4 linked regions of the Sus scrofa genome follow. The protein of the gene in region 3 interacts with the protein of the main gene of each other region in a biochemical or structural test. Links are inferred from orthologs where the notes say so. Each region holds a gene or a part of one and is shown on either strand. Other genes may lie near its edges.

Region 1 (3,723 bases), on a different chromosome or scaffold from region 3:
CCTGCCCTGTGCCTCACAGCCTGAGGGGCCTCCTGGGACACAGGCCACCCCAGAAGTGCCCGTGTGTGTGGAGACTTCTCCCTTGCTTAGAACTGCCTTACAAGATGAGCCCCAATTGGCTCTAACCATCTGTGTTCCTGAAAACGCCCTCCTAAAAGGCACTGCAGGCACCCTCAATTCCAGCCACGCAGAGAGCTAGGCATGAGCAGACAGGTCTTCTCGGAGGGTGGCCATGGGGCTGAGGGCCAACCAAAGGTGGCCCGGCCAAAGACCGGAGACACACATGGCCTCCTGAAGCCACAGCCAAGGGATCTGGTGGGATTCTTTTCCTTCCCCCAAGGCCAAGAAAGAGGCTGCCTGCTCCCAGGCACAGGGCAGAACAGGGCTGTTAAGGCAGCCAGAGGACGGCACCACTCCCCTGGCCATCTGCCCACCTCAGCCCAGTGGCCACGGCAGGGGGAGTGTGACGGCAGAGATGGAGGAACCCACTGTCCCAGGACAGGGCCGGCGCACACACGGTCCTGCCTCCATGCAGGTTTCAAATGTGTTATTTATTCACTATTTTGATGACTATAAATAAGTGTTTCCACTGTGGAAAAGAAAGTTAGCAGAGTACATTCTCATGACTGGGGAAGGGGTTCTCTGAAGTCATCTTCAATAGGGCAATAACTGAGAAAAAAAAACAACCTGAATGTCGGAAGTCAGTTCTTTTATATAAAGTCCCTTGTAAAAACAAAACAGAATAAAAACAAACGGAAGAGGGGCAGGGCAAAATTTAAAAAAAGAAAAGAGGGAAAAGACAGGGAGAAAGGGACGTGGGAGCCGACTCATTGCTCCTCCTCGGCCGGCTGCTTGGCCTCGTCCTGCGGCTCCGTGCCCGCCTTCACCGAGAGTGCTTCTAGCTTCTCGGCCACTTTCTCAGCACTATCGTTTTTGCCAGATCCTGCCAAGGCACAGGGATGCAGTAAGAAGCAGCAGCATTGCTCTGCCCAGCCCCGCTGCAGCTGTGCACGCTCCAGGGACTGGCTGCCCTTCCATGTGCCTCCAGGGTCACAGGTAAACACGTCCTCCCACCTGGACCCCAAGCAAGTAGATTACCACAAGGACCTCTGAGAAGCCCCTACTGCCCTGGGGAACTCCAACAGACACTGTGATTTGGCAGTTAGGCTGAGTGCCGGGAGGCCAGGCCAGAGAGCACATATTTGGGCCCTGACTGGCAGTTCACCCCCAAGAAAGCACACCATGTACCGGGGCAGCTGCCTTGCCCTTGACAGGTCAAAGTGGTCACAGCGCCCCGGGATGTTCCTGTGGCAGACAGAAAAAGCACCCGCCCGGGGCTGCGGCCGGGAGCAGAGCGAGTCTGCAGAGTCCCCCCATAGGCAACCCTACCCTAAAAACTCCCCAGCTCCACTAGCACCCAGCACCTTTCTTTTCTCTCTCTTCAATTTCTTTTCTGCATTCTTCAAACTTCGTTTTGAACTTCTGTGCGTCTGCAAAGATACAAAAGAATGCCCATTAAGATCCCTGAGCAGCGAGTCCCAGGCCACGATGACCTCAGGAGAGCCAGCCACCTCCTTGCCTGACTGCACACCAGTCTGGGCAGAGGTGGGCAGCCTCACTTCACCACGTGCTCTGCTCTCCACCTGGACTGGAAGCAGCCACTGGGCAGGCCACTCCCAAAGCAGAGGCAAGGTCCACTCAGCACCAGATCGTCAGCTCCTGGGGTGCTGAATCCCGGCACCCACCCAACTCCTGCAGGACCGCCTGGGTTGGGTAGGCAACCCAGGCTGGGAGGATGCCCAGCAGGGGGAGAGATCAGCATGGGCAGAGCCCTTGCTGGCACCCAGGCGATGGTGAGAGGACACACCTTCCCTGGGCACAGCCTACAGGCATTTAGCTCCATTCCCTGAGCCCACCAGACAGCAGGGCAGAACCAGACCCCACCGCATGCTTCCCAGCTGCTGTCAAGTCTCCCTGGAAACCAAGGGCACTGGTGGTCAGGCTGGCCTGAGACTTACTCTCGGCGTTAAGGAAGCGAATGGCCAGCAGCTCCTGCTTGGGGCACTCGTCGGCGAAGTCAGCGTGGGTGTTCCAGACCCAGGCACGGTCACTGCCTGCGTTCGGTTTCAGCTCCATCATCGGCGTGACTGGAGGGAGAAGCACCGTGAGGACGGTGTGGCTGCCAAGCCAGCCCACCCTTCCCACCCACTGCAGACAAAACAGGCCTGGCTTGAGGTTCACCAAGCAGGACTTGATTAAGTCCTTTGGGATCTGAGTTTTACAAACCATGACTCTTTGAAAACATCCCGTGTTCACTTAAAGTCTAGGAACAGGGACCCCAGTCCCCACCACAAAGATACCCCAACGAGGGTCTCAAACCCCATCTCAGCCTAACGTTCCGATGCCAGCATGTCTGCTCATGCCTGGCCCCTGCCTGAGCAGCCCCCACCCAGGGCAGGCATGGACCACATGGCCTAGCAGGCCCTGCCGTTGCCGCCCCCGCCCCCTAAGGCTTTGTCCACGCTTGGCTATGCCCACAGAGACCTGGTCCACAGAAGGTGGAGCACAGCAGAAAGACAGAAGCTAGGAGGTAGGCTAACCACCCAGGAGGGCACATGATCAAATCAGGGCAACGACTCTCAGCCTCACATGGTCCAGGAACACCACAAGGAACAAGACCATCAAAAGTGGATAGCAAAAGCCTTGTGACATGCCTGTACCTCATAGAAGACAGAGCTATAGCCAGGAACAAACTTGGCTCCCATCTCCTTGGGTCCCTCTCAGACCCAAGGGGGAAAAGATCTCTAGGAAACCTCCAAGACACGGGACATGCCCAGCCCGATACTACTGAGCCCACCTGTTCACAGGACACCCAGAGGCACCTTTCTTGTCACCACCTGCCCAGGAGGGCTGTGCTGTGCCCCAGGTTCCGGACCCCCTCTGCAGCTCACAGAAACAACCCAGTGACATAGGGCTCTGGGAAAAGCAGTGGCAGTGAAAACCCCTGGGGAAGCACTTCACATCCAGCTGGAAGTTGCAGGCTGGTCCAGGGCAGAAAGGCTGGGCGGGGCCGCTGGGGCAGCTCCTGAGGAAGCCACTCAGGCTGGGACGCAGTGACTGGCATACAAAGGCTGTTGTGCTTCCCACCAGGACCTTCCCTCTGGCTCCTGGGCGTCCACACAAGAGGCCCTGCCCCACCGGACACACGCCCTCAATGCAGACACAGCCCAGGATACGCATCCCCTGAACACTCAGCAGCCCAGCAATCCGAGGCCAACGCAGTGGGGAGCCTGCCATTACCGCTTCGCCGGCCGGGCCTCAGGTGACTCTCCCGGGATCCCCACTCTGGGCCCAGGACTGACGCCCACTAGTCTACATTCACCGGGAGGTCTGTGGAGCGCTGGCCCAGGCACCTACTGTAGTGATTGGCGCAGATCTTGAGTGTCTTGTCCCTTCGCATGAGGAGGCGGATGGTCCCCTTCTCCTTGTGCTTCAGAAGCTTGACGTCCCCAGTGCCTCGCTCCTTCCACTCTGGGAGGTCGTTCTCTGAAGCAAACCGGAAGAGCTTTGCCCGCCTTCAAGGGGATCCGTGGAGCAAAAGGTTAGCCAAGCACAGGAGGGGACAGAGGAGGCCCTGCCAAATGGCCCTCCTTTCCTTGCACTCCAAGAACCACAAGTCAAGACGTCACCAGAGAATCAAGACAACTTAACAAAACTGTGGGT
Region 2 (3,560 bases), on a different chromosome or scaffold from region 3:
TCGTGGCAGAACTCAGGGCCCTGGGCAGCTCAGCCCTCTCTGACTACCCTGACATGTGTTCTCGTTCCAGAGGTCAGCCGGAGGCTCCAGCCCCGAAGGTGGAGAAGGTGAGGACATCTCTCAAATGTTTCACCATCTTTGGTTGTAAAAGTAGAAGCAGCCTGATTTTTCTCCCCTTCTTCCTTATTTTCTGTAGATTCCGACCGAGAAGATGGAAATTACTGCCCTCCTGTCAAACGAGAAAGAACGTCCTCTTTAACACAGTTCCCACCTTCACAGTCAGGTAATGGTTGCAGACCTTTATTGGATGGTAAAAGCATCCATGTGTGTAAGCCCGCTGCTCCCCTCCAGCGTCTCACACCCCTGGTCTGTTCCGCATGCACATCTGGTTAGAATCAACCCGAGGCCCAGTCTCTGTCAGGAGTGAGGTTAGAGTGTTCTTGCGTGTAGCACAGGTGCCCCTGTCTGGAATCAGTGACACTTACAGAGGATTGGGAACTAGTGGAATAATTAATTAGGAAGGCCCATGAAGTCAGCCCTGGAAAAGGACCGTCAGGGCTCTTTACGCATTCACCTTGCACAAACTGCCAGCTGGCTATGTCTGTAAACTGAAGCTGTGGGAAGCGGGGTGTCGTCCTGACCCTTTAGTCATGTGCCTAGAGCTTGGTGGTCCACTTGAGAAGCCCAGACACACACACACACACACACACACACACACACACACAGTGAGCCAAGTGGCCGTAGCAGACACTTTGGCGGTGGAATGTTGTGAGCTCCCAAAGGGGAGGGGATCTTAGGGAAGCCTGGAAGGGTTGGCCAGACCAGGATCCCATCCCTGTGGAGTGGTTGTGCCCAAGGGCTTGGAAGCTGGAGGCTGAAGGAAAAGTCTGCACAAACGCAGAGGCCAGCAGATCAGCTGGTGTACAAAGGCTGGTGCAAGAAAGAGATGGGTTCCCAGGGTAGATGCCGGGCTCCTTAGTGGGAGGCTCTGCAGGCCTGGGCACGCCCCAGTGCTTTGGAGGGTAAAAGCTGCAGCAGGGCTTGGCGCACCCCTGCCCCTACTGTGTCCTGGCTTGGTCCACTCTGGAATCATTCCATGCTCTCTGCTGCCTTAGAGACTCTCTCCAACTCCCCAGCTTGAAGTTCATTCTTGGGAATTCATGTAAAACATTTACAACTGTGAGCCTTAAGGGTATCCACTTGAAGGGAGAAAAGACATTCCTGTAAGCTTTGTTTCTACTTAGAGTAATGCAGGAGTTCCTGGTGTGGCTCAGCAGTAACGAACCCGACTAGTATCCATGAGGATGCGGGTTCAATCCCTGGCCTCACTCAGTGAGTTAAGGATCTGGTGTTGCCGAGAGCTGCAGTGTAGGCTCAGATCCTGCATTGCTGTGGCTGTGGTGTAGGCCAGCAGCTGTAGCTCCGATTTGACCCCTAGCCTGGGAACCTCCATATGCCCTAAAAAGCAAAAAAAAGAATCCAACTGCAGTGGCTGGGGTCACTGCAAGGGGTGCAGGTTCGATCCACAGCTCAATGTAGTGGGTTAAAGGATCCCGCATTGCACCTGTGGCATAGGTCACCACTGTGGCTCAGATTCAATCCCTGGCCCAGGAACCTCCATATGCTGCGGGTGCAACCATAAAATTTTTAAAAAGAAAAAGAAAAAAAAGAGCAATGCACACATCACAGGAGTGTACATGGTAGAGAGTGAATGTCCTTTTAAGATCATCCCTGTGACACACTTGGTTTTATACCTGTTCCCCTGAACACTGACTTTGGACATTGACATGTCCTTTTTCCACACTGTGGGAGACTCCTCTTGAATAGAGGCACTGTCTTTCACCTACCAGGCTTTGGGAAGCTGTCTAGACGATTTGCAGTCCAGGCTGTGGTTGACATCCTGGTTTTTTTTGGTTTTTTTTTTTTTTTGTCTTTTTGCCATTTTTCTTGGGCTGCTCCCGTGGCATATGGAGGTTCCCAGGCTAGGGGTTGAATCAGAGCTGTAGCCACTGGCCTACGCCAGAGCCACAGCAACGCAGGATCTGAGCCGCATCTGCAACCTACACTACAGCTCATGGCAACGCTGGATCGTTAACCCACTGAGCAAGGGCAGGGACCGAACCCGCAACCTCATGGTTCCTAGTCGGATTCGTTAACCACTGCGCCACGACGGGAACTCCTGACATCCTGTTTTTAAGGATCTCTGCACGCCTGTTACATGGCCCTAACTATAGAAGGGAACTTGTGCTCCCTAGCCATTGATTGTGTTCCTTCCCATCCTCCACCCACTGCTGAACTACACTTTCTGCAGTGGGGGAGAAAGGAGGTGATTTGTGCTGTGGTCCCAGGCCGAAGGGGCAGAGGACCACTAGACATTGTCCTTCTCCTTTCATGCATCACCACCCAGGAGCTGCTTAGCCCTCAGCCATTAGGGAAGTGGAGAGACAGCAGTGCCTCTGAGCCCACTTAGCTGCCCTCTGTCAGCACAGTTAGTTCTTCAGCCCTGCTACACTATTGCTTGGTCTGCTCCCAGGAAGCAGTTGATATTGTGGAGTAAGATCCTGGATAGGTGAGGGGAGGCAGATTGCAGCTGAGTATGACAAGGAGCAGGGTCTGAGATTCAGCCCCAGGGGAGACTCAGAACATCTGGGGCGTCCATTTCCCTCCTGACTGCCTCTTCAGGGGCATGAGGACAAGGCAGGTGGCCATGGAGGACCAGAGCCGACTGCTCAGTGTCAGTTTAAGCCTGCTCTGACCCACTTTTGCCGTAGAAAGAGTCCCTGGGTCACTTTTATTGGGAGTGGCTAAAGGCCGGAGCCTTAATGCTGACTCCCTCCCCCTAACAGTGGGGGCCTGGAGATGAGCCCTCAGGTGAGGGAAGTGATCCCTTGCACATCTGCCCCACCTACTCACACTGTTTTTCCTCTTGTTCCCTCCCCTGCCTGCACCTCTTTGTCGACAGTATCAAAAAACAATGTTTTTATGCCATCAACCTTCTGCGAGCCATCTGCAGGCAATTCTGACTCAGAACCAGGTGAGCCCTCACATCCCCTTGCCTTTGACAGCTAGCCACTGGGGGTTTCCTGGGATGAAAAGCAGTTGATGTTATAAAGTAAGATCTTCAATGGGAATGGGCAGTTTGAAATCAGTAGTCTTTTTCAGTTCCTAAATGTTTCCCAACTTTTCAACTCGTAGACTTGGAATCCAGTGTGAGATGGTTTCATAAGCCCTTCTGTTTCTGCTAGCAGGACCTGGTTACAAGGAATTTCAAGTCCTTTTTTTAAAAGTGTTTAAAATCAAAAAAAAAAAAAAAATCTATAATGGGGCATACTACTCGTTTTTCAAACTTTTACACCGTTAACACACTTGTATCATTAGAAAATTGGAAATACATCGAGTAAAAGAATCCGCCTGCCCCTTTCCCATTCACTCTACCACCCCAAAGGTAAACTACTCTGAAGTTTCTGTAATTTTCCAGACTCCTCTGTGTATTCTCAACATTAATTAATATTACTTAGATCTGTTTAGATAAATACATTTAGTCATAGCTTTAAAACTTT
Region 3 (4,016 bases):
CATTTATCAACCTCTTGGTGGCACAATGGGCCTACTAAATGTTGGTGGGCTGCTTGCTGTTTCTTCAGCAAAGAACAATCAGTAAAGCTTACTTGGAGGGCACTTGCGGACAAGAGAGACAACCATGTGAAGGGCCACGTGCGTGTGACTTTCATAGAAAATACTACTTGGTGATGATGAAATTTGTGAAGGGTAACTACCCGAAAGGAAAAAGCGAAGGTAAAGGAAGATCAAGGGCAGCTGGCACTCAAGCTTACCCAGCAAAAAGCACAGGATGTTAAACCAATTACAGGGATTACAGTGTCTTAATTTTTAGGAAGAATTGGTTGTTGAAGCAGCCAAATTCCAACCTGGGGAGACGGCGAGTTAAAATTTGAAGGAGACTTGCCCAAGAACTACTTAGGTAACTTTCCCACGTCTCGGAGAGGAGTAAGAGGCGCCAAGGGAGCGTGCCCCATACCTCACCCCAACCTCTCAACATCTCGGCCCCAAACCCGGTCTGGGGCCTACGACTGGCCTCCGTTGTGTTGTTTTCGCTCCTTTTTTCCACCCCGCCCCTCTCCGATTAAAAAAAAACTGGGTGTGCCCTAGTTTTTGCACAGCCCCCATCCGATGGGTGGGGGACAGGTCCCGACCACTGCGGGTTAAGGCCCTGCAGCTAGGCGGGAGCCGGCGGGGGCCGACCAACGCGAGTCCGGGAGTAGCCGAGCGGACGCAGGCGGCCGCGCGCCGCGCTTAAACTCGCGCCTCCACCAGCTCACGAGCTGCGCCCCACCCGCTTCGTCACCAAAGGCGCCCAGCCAATGAACGGGCCGGAAAGGCCGGGCCTGCGGGCTAAGCCCTGGGAGGGGGAGCGGAGGGAGGAGGACGGGAAGTTGAGGGCGGGCTATATTTGATTGACAGACCTCTCGAACCAATCTTCCGCGCGGCTTCTCTTCGCTCTCTACTCTGCTCTGCTTAGCTCTTCGTCCCACCTTCTCCTCTTCCACCCCCCCTCCTCGCTCCTTTGCGACCCGCCCCACTTCCCTTCCCCCACTCTGCGGGCAAATCGCTGCTGGAAAGAGGCGGGGGCCGAAGCGGCGGGCTCGTGTGGAGCCTAGAGCAGAGATTGATGGGCGATATGACCAATAGGAGGTAGGCTGATGGCGCGGCTATGGCTGGAAGCGGCCAATGGGCAAGCGGACTGGGGGCGGAGGCCCAGGTTCCAAACGCTCCGCGGCGCCATGGGCTGAAAACTCAACCGAGATGGAATCTCCCAGTCTGAACCGGTTTCAACCGGTTCCGAGTTTGAGGCACTAGGAGGAGGGGGAGAAGCGGCTGCAGCGGCCGCGGCAGGAGCAGCGGGAGCTACAGCATCAGCAAGAGCAACAGTAGCTACAGCCCCGGCGGCGGTGCCTGTTCCAGTCTTTGCTGCTGCAGTCCGTGCAACCACCCAGAGGGGGAGGGGGGAACCACCAGTCGCTGAGGAGCAAGAGAAGGGGGGAAAGTTTAGGCGAGCCTGGGTGGGGGGGGCCCAGCACCGGAGCCGCGTGAGAGAGGGAGCCGTATTTTGGTAGGGGGGAGTCGGACTGTAACTGGCAGCAGAGCGTCCCCCGACCGTGTGGACTCTACACCCCCTACTCCTGCCGCTCCTGCTGCCGCCTGTGGCTGGAGGGTCCCCCTGGGGCTGAATCTTTGGGACCTGACCCGGTTCCCCTCCCCCTTCCCTCACGCCCCAGCCAGGCGGGAGCATTTATTCCACATATTAATTCCCCTTCTTTTTTTGGGGGGGAGGGTGGGTGTGTGTGTCGGGGGGAGGTGTCCCTGAGATAGTAAATATTGAGCTTTTTTTTTTTTTTTTGCCCTTATCGCCTTCGTTTTTTTTTTAATTTCTTTTTTTAAGGTGGGGAAACTGTGAAACCCACCTTGATTTCCTCCCCTCTTCCCCCCCTCCCCATCTTCCCTCGCCCTAATCCCCCGACAAGGAAGGAAGAAGCAGTTGGTTCAATCTCTGGGTAAGTCGACTGTGTCTTCGGGGCCGAGGGTCGGGCGGCGGCGCGGCCGGGCGGGAGGAGGCTGGTGTGGGGCGCGGCGGCGGCCGCGGGAGACGAGCCGGGGAGGCGGCGGCGGGCCCACAGCACAGCCTGCGATTGAATGGAGCCGCTTCTGCCGCTGGGGGATGGAGGCGGGGAGGCGGCCGCGGGAGGGGAGCGCTTGCTTGGGTCATTCGCGTGTGCGGGTAGCGGTGGAGGAAGGCAAGGAGCGTGATAGTGAAGTGGGGCCCGGCGCGGGAGTGGAAGGGCTTCCCCAGCCCAAGGGGCCGGGGAGAAGTTAGGGTGATTTCAGGAACATCTCAGGAAATTATTAGGAGTGGAAGTTTCCAGAAATATTTAGTGCAGCAGCATTGAAACGTCCGCCTGCATCACGTGGCCCCTCGGTGGAGAGCTTGGGATCGCGGGAGGGAGGGGCTGATGCCTGCTCCTCCTGCAGGGAAACTCAGAATCTTTGGGTTTTTGCAAAGTAGGATTAAAAGTAGGGAAGGTTATTTGGTTTTTTTGGGGGGGGGGAATCTGCAGGTGAGGTTCCATGCTGTAGTTTTGCTTTCACGGACTTGAGTGTGTTAAGTGATCAAAACGTTTACTGCTGGCGCTGTACAGTGGACAATATCCTGATTCTGCTTCATTCCGATGTCTGAGTTTGGGGTGGGTGGAAGGAAGCGGTGTACTAGAGGAAGCATTAAAGATCTGCCCAGCACGGACCTCTGATCACGCAGAGGCCATGCTGCATTGAGAATGGGGCGGTGAACTTCAGGCGCCTGGTCTAAATGCCTCCTCCGAGTATGGGCGGGGTGAGTGCGTGCTCCAGTATGCTATAGTTAGAAGTGCTGCGGATCGGTTCGGGTGGGAAGAGAGGGGAGGGCGGGCCTTAGTGAGGTGTGTTTCTACTGAATGAAGCAGGCAATTGCCCACACACCTAAAGTAGCAGTCTTTCTCCTTGTAGCGACTTGTTTTTTGACCTACTATGTAGTTATCATTAAGCAACGGTTATGATTTTTTGGCTTTTGGATGGGAGCTGGCAGTGTGTAGCTGCCAGTTTGAAGTGGCTGTGAAGGTATTTTGGTAGTCACTTGTAGAGTCACCACATGGCTGGACAGTACCTTGTATTTGCTGTGCAGTGAGTGGAATTTAGCATTGAGTGTCCCAAGGAACGGAGAAAGCTTTTGTGGTTTCTTTCACCTCCCGCTTTGGCTGTTTTGCTATCTGCTTGATTGTGTATCTTAAGCGCGTTGGACACTGCTGTTGGTGGAAAGAATGTTTTGGAAGCTATTTAATTTGGGAGACTAAATGTGCTTGGCATTGACCAGAAAGCCGCCATTTCTGTACTACGTACAGTTTAAGACTAGGTAGGTCATTTCGAAGATAGGCGCTAGTTCTAAGGGTGGCATACCCTGCTGTATTTAACAGAAGCTTCTATTCTAAACCTGCTTTTTCACAGGATTTGTCTTGAACTCTGTAAAGACAATGTACTTGAAAATGAAACTTTTTATAGTTACTTTATTTTTTGTTTTGGCTATTACATTATGATAGGACTAAATAGGAGAAAAGTTCGTTCAGTTTTTAATTAACTCCCCCCCATAGAACATTTGATATGTAGATCTTGATTCTTCGTGGACATTGCTTTTCAGGCTCAATTTTTAAGATTGTTCTGATCCTTTAAAATTACATGACACTTGAAGGGGAGAGATTTAACGCTTTAATTTGTGAAATATATATTTCCTTTTTTGTATTAATATTTAGGTCAAAGATTATGTTAGGTAGTAACTGCTGGTAGAAATTTTTGAAATCTCATCAGTTTTGTTGTCAATGGATCAAAAAACTTGAATGAAAGTCCTTAAACTCTTAATTTCTCAATTTTTACATTATATCTTATATTTTATCTGATTGATCTTTCCGACTTTTACTTTGTCGTAACTGACATTATCATTAAGACATTCGAGTTGAAATTACTGCCATTTTTAAGAATATTTTTAAACCGTA
Region 4 (4,314 bases), on a different chromosome or scaffold from region 3:
GCTGCAGTCACAGCCCCCCAAAAAAAACAACTTCACCTTATAAACTCTGAATTTGGGAAGCACCCTAACATATTACTAAATTTGTCTAAAACCAACTAAAATATAACTAATGTTTCAAGGCAAAGTAAAACCCAAGTACCCAGATTATTTAAGAAAATCAAACCTCAACTGTCAAATGCAAGTTCACTGAATGGAGAACTGTTTATTGCAATGATTCATTGTGAAGGACATTATTGAATTTCAAAGCACATGCGACTTGCGCACATCTCAGATTTGCTTATAGAGAGAGTGGGCTCAATTGACATTTTAATATAAAGTACACATTCTGAAAAATGCCAGGCTGCAACGGCACAGAAAGGACACTAATTAATTGGGGCACCGCTGGTCCTGTCACAGACATCACTCTAAGCTGACCCTCAGCTTTAAAGCTTTGTGCAGAATTACTGGACTTGACCAGTATAACATGTACTGTCAGCACTCAAATGCCAACGGTGTTCACGAAAGTGCCACAGACAACCTTTCTTGCCCCAAGTGTCATCTGAAACAGGGAGCAGAGGGAAAAGTCCCACCCACGGGGACAGGGTTACTCCTTGTGTAAGGAGAAGCGACTGGAAGCTGGGGATCCTCGATGCACGCGGAATGCTGCTCCCCCTTGACTGTTTCCACACAGCTCCCAAGAATTTTCAAGTTCTACTTATGATCAAAAGGGCCAAGGACATTACTGTCAACTAGGACTTGTGGTTTTTAACTTTGCGGGGAGCACCAACCCCTCCGTGGACAGGAGAACAGTTCTCTGTAGATAAAGTTGTAAAGGATCCACACGCCTCAGGGGAAGGAAGGGCTCACGCCTTAGGTCAGAGCCGAATCATGGACTCTGGATCCTGAGAAATGACTTAAGTCCAACCTCCCCAGGAACCTGGAATAGGAAAATGGCTTGTCCAAGGTCAACGGTGAGTTAGAAATGGAATCAGGCAAGAAGTAAGCAACTCAGAGATTTTGAAGCAAGCCAACCAGTGTCACCAAGTAACGTTTTCTTATACAAAGAAAGTTCCAACAGAAACCAAGAGCTAACTACAGCAACAGAAGTTTTAAGTAGAACCTAAAGGAACCCACGCGAGTGCTGTGGTTCAAAAATGCCTAAGCTGAAAACAGGACCAGAAAGCTTGCAAGGCACTCACCATGTTCCACAAAAACATTGCAGTGTGGGCCCCCGTGTCTCGAGGAGTCCTTCTTCCCTGCGCCTTTGATAAAGTGCAGGGCAGGCAAACTTGGCCGTCTTTGGTCCCCAAGAACTTTTCCAGGCTGCTGCCCCATAAAGTAACAGTAGGCACCCCTTTCCGGAAGAGGGTTCAAGATCTTTCAGAATGGGCAGTGAGCTAGAAGGAAAACAGTATGTATGTGGGATTTCACATTCACTGCATCGCCACAAGTCAGTCACTGAGGTCAGTCACAACAAGGCATCTTCTCCCATAAGGAAAGGAAGCGAAGATTTCAGGTTGACAATATGTAAACAGGAGTTCCGATTATTTTCGCAGTTGATCAACTTGAAGTCATATCAGGGCAATGGGACCCAAGCTGCTTGATTTTGTGTCCTTTACTGGCTGAGTAACAGCTTCTTCCCTTTCAAGGAGAAAAACCTAAACAGAAATATTCACAGGGGATGCTGTAAGACGGTCAGTAAGGCTCAAGTCATTTCGATTCCCACACATCAAGGAAATGTTGCTTGTCTTTGGATGCGCCTCCAGAACTTTTCCTGGGGAAGTCACCCACCCCCTATCTCGGTGTCTTCATCTTCCGCGGCAGATTTCCTGCCGCACTAGCTGCCGCTCCTCGCCTGCTTCTCTACCCTGCTCTCCGGAAAAGGACACGGGTCACCCGGCCTTCAGAGAGAGCTGGCCCTCGACTCTGACGAGAAGGAATGCATTGCCAGCAACTTTTAAGTCCGCTTTTTAAAAGGCCTGTGAAACCAGTCCAGGCTTTTCCTTTGCATTAAAGTTTCTGGCTGGGCTGAGACTAAGGGGGCCGTAGGTGACATTGGAAGAAGTCAGGGCATTAGAGGCTCACGGGAGCAACCTGGGGGCAAGGGGAGGCCACTTGACAGCAGGAAGGGGATTTGAATGGGGGCTCCGAGGCCACACTTGAACCCAGGAGGCAGGAGCAAGGGGCGGCTCGGGGGTAAGAGGGAGGCTGCCAGGGCGGGGCGCGGGCGGCTTACTTCGGGAGCGACGCTCCTCCACGCCTCAGGAATCGGGGTGTCCCAGGTCTGGGGAAAGAGACCACCCTCAGGGTCCCAGAGTCGGGGCTGGGCTGGAAGGGGCGAAGGACTCCCGAGGCTCCGAGGGCGGGAAGCGGGCGGAGGGGGGTAGGCCCGGCCGCCTCAGCTGCCCCTAACCTGGGGGGGGTCTCTGCCAGAGACACCCCCTCCCCCGGCCCCGGACGTTGCTACGGCCGCCGCCGTCAGGCGGTCACATCCCCCGAGCTCCGCCGCGGGACCCAACCTCCCCCAGCAGGTTAGGGCCGTGGGCAACGGAAGGGCTCCTCAACCGCGGGACCCGGGAACCGGCTCCGGCTCCAGCGCTGCTCAGGGACGGTCACCGACCCCCGTGGCCGCCATGATGGATTACGAGCAGCTCCACAACGAGGCCAGGCCCCGCCCCTGGCCCCGCCCCCGGTGACGTCCCGTGCGCACCTCGCGGGGACCCGGACCCTCTCGGCGCCGCTTTCGGGTACGCCGCAGCGCCTTTCGGCTCCAGCCTCCTTGCCCGCGAGGGCCGGGTCCTGCAGGACCTGTTAAAATGTGGTTTTTTCCCGAGAGCAAGGCGAGTGGTAAGGAAGCTCCCGCCTCCCCTGTACTGCCTTTGGTTCGCGAGAATCCGGGTCAGGGCTCTCTCCTGCATCCCATTGGCCAGTAGGGACAGTGGGGTAGAGCTTCTAGCCAACCACCTTCGGCGCAGCTCGCAAGGCGTGGCGGGAGTTGTGGTCCTGCGGCGCCCGCCCCTGTCGGTGCTCACCCGAGGCTTGCCCTCTGCTCCCGCTCCTGAGCTTCGTCCCGCCCTCCTGGGAGCCGGTGAACTCTAGCCGGCTTCGCGTAGGGCTGGCCAATGTCTCCCCTGAGCTGTTAGTAGACCGGCGAGAAACCAAAGCAAGGAGAAAACTGCGGATTGGATTTTCCCAGAACCGGAGTTGGATCACTTCCTTGAGCCTCTTTGAGAAAATTTAGCTCGCTCCTGGAAACCAAGGTATTTGGTGCCTTCACCGCTCCACCCCCCGCCTCCATTCCCACCTTTTCTCCAAGAAACATAAATATTAGTACCAGCGAAAAATAAACAACTGGAAAGCATCCGACAGACTGCTAACGAATTATTTCTTCGGAATATCAGGAGGCTCATTCTAAAGAAACAGCATTTGTTAAGAGCCTTTCGGAGGCTAAGCCAGGCACAATCATAGACGTTTGGGTGAGCAGGAAACTTTGAACTTAAACTCATACAGTGACGTGTGTTAATTTTTTCTCAATAAAACTGGGGGAATAAAAGGGGAGGGGTTAAACAGTTCAGAGATGTACAGGTATTCACATGAAAACCTCTTAGTCGAGATTGTTTAGTAGGCCTGCAGAGCTAGCCAGTGACCCAGACACACCAAATCCACACCTGCCATAACCCATTTAAATATGCAACTAAAATGTACCCTAACCCCCAATTCACCACTCCCCATGTCTCCCCAGAGCAGTGCACCTACCAGACCAGGATATACCCATTTCTAAAGGATCCACTCATCACAACACGGGTCTATACTAGGCCTATTACGCTTTTCATAAACTGGATGCTCATTTAATCCTCACTGCAGACAGCGAGGCATGTAATATCATTCCCCATATACAGATGAGGTGACTTATGGTGGGCTCGTTCTGTAAGAGTCACTATTTGAGCCCAGACTGACCTTGCTCCAAAGCCTTTGGTTTTTTTTGTTGTACCACTCCCATAACTGTTGACCTGACATTAGGCAATTGACTTCTTAGAAGTCGCACTATTAGTGGGGGGACACCATAGTCATAGTACAGACACTGTACTTTCCATTATTGGATGGTGTATTTTAGACATTTCTGCCGGATTGGGAAATGGTGCTGATGAGTTTATAGATATTGGCTTCAAAAAAGTCACTGGGAAGTACTGAATTAGGAAGCCTATGAAAACGTGTGCCCAATTTTAGAACTGGAGTTTACCTTCAGATGTTGATTGGGTTAGCTTTGCTGTCAGAAAGTAGTCTGGCTGATGAACTTGGTCCTGGTTTGCAACTTATCCTTCAAACTTCAACACC

Evidence for each region.
Region 1: the proteins of XPO1 (region 3) and RANBP1 form a complex in vitro, tested with the Homo sapiens proteins (3 studies listed by BioGRID, with this or other methods). The link is inferred for Sus scrofa from reciprocal best matches to the Homo sapiens genes XPO1 and RANBP1.
Region 2: the proteins of XPO1 (region 3) and RANBP3 form a complex in vitro, tested with the Homo sapiens proteins (2 studies listed by BioGRID). The link is inferred for Sus scrofa from reciprocal best matches to the Homo sapiens genes XPO1 and RANBP3.
Region 4: the proteins of XPO1 (region 3) and ABL1 interact in a test that uses a peptide from one of them, tested with the Homo sapiens proteins (2 studies listed by BioGRID). The link is inferred for Sus scrofa from reciprocal best matches to the Homo sapiens genes XPO1 and ABL1.

Annotation. Positions count from the first base shown.
Region 1 is NC_010456.5:51,497,230-51,500,952, reverse strand, and holds the end of RANBP1 (ran-specific GTPase-activating protein), read right to left. Parts: intron 3,576-3,723; coding exon 3,418-3,575; intron 2,148-3,417; coding exon 2,019-2,147; intron 1,491-2,018; coding exon 1,425-1,490; intron 944-1,424; coding exon 828-943; 3' UTR 533-827; downstream 1-532. UniProt on the Homo sapiens protein: Plays a role in RAN-dependent nucleocytoplasmic transport. Alleviates the TNPO1-dependent inhibition of RAN GTPase activity and mediates the dissociation of RAN from proteins involved in transport into the nucleus.
Region 2 is NC_010444.4:73,100,970-73,104,529, forward strand, and holds part of RANBP3 (ran-binding protein 3), read left to right. Parts: intron 1-70; coding exon 71-107; intron 108-196; coding exon 197-283; intron 284-2,962; coding exon 2,963-3,034; intron 3,035-3,560. UniProt on the Homo sapiens protein: Acts as a cofactor for XPO1/CRM1-mediated nuclear export, perhaps as export complex scaffolding protein. Bound to XPO1/CRM1, stabilizes the XPO1/CRM1-cargo interaction. In the absence of Ran-bound GTP prevents binding of XPO1/CRM1 to the nuclear pore complex.
Region 3 is NC_010445.4:80,253,836-80,257,851, forward strand, and holds the start of XPO1 (exportin-1), read left to right. Parts: upstream 1-1,180; 5' UTR 1,181-1,994; intron 1,995-4,016. UniProt on the Homo sapiens protein: Mediates the nuclear export of cellular proteins (cargos) bearing a leucine-rich nuclear export signal (NES) and of RNAs.
Region 4 is NC_010443.5:270,760,149-270,764,462, reverse strand, and holds the start of ABL1 (tyrosine-protein kinase ABL1), read right to left. Parts: upstream 2,823-4,314; 5' UTR 2,690-2,822; intron 2,635-2,689; exon of another isoform or gene 2,216-2,634; intron 1,638-2,215; 5' UTR 1,315-1,637; coding exon 1,179-1,314; intron 1-1,178. UniProt on the Homo sapiens protein: Non-receptor tyrosine-protein kinase that plays a role in many key processes linked to cell growth and survival such as cytoskeleton remodeling in response to extracellular stimuli, cell motility and adhesion, receptor endocytosis, autophagy, DNA damage response and apoptosis.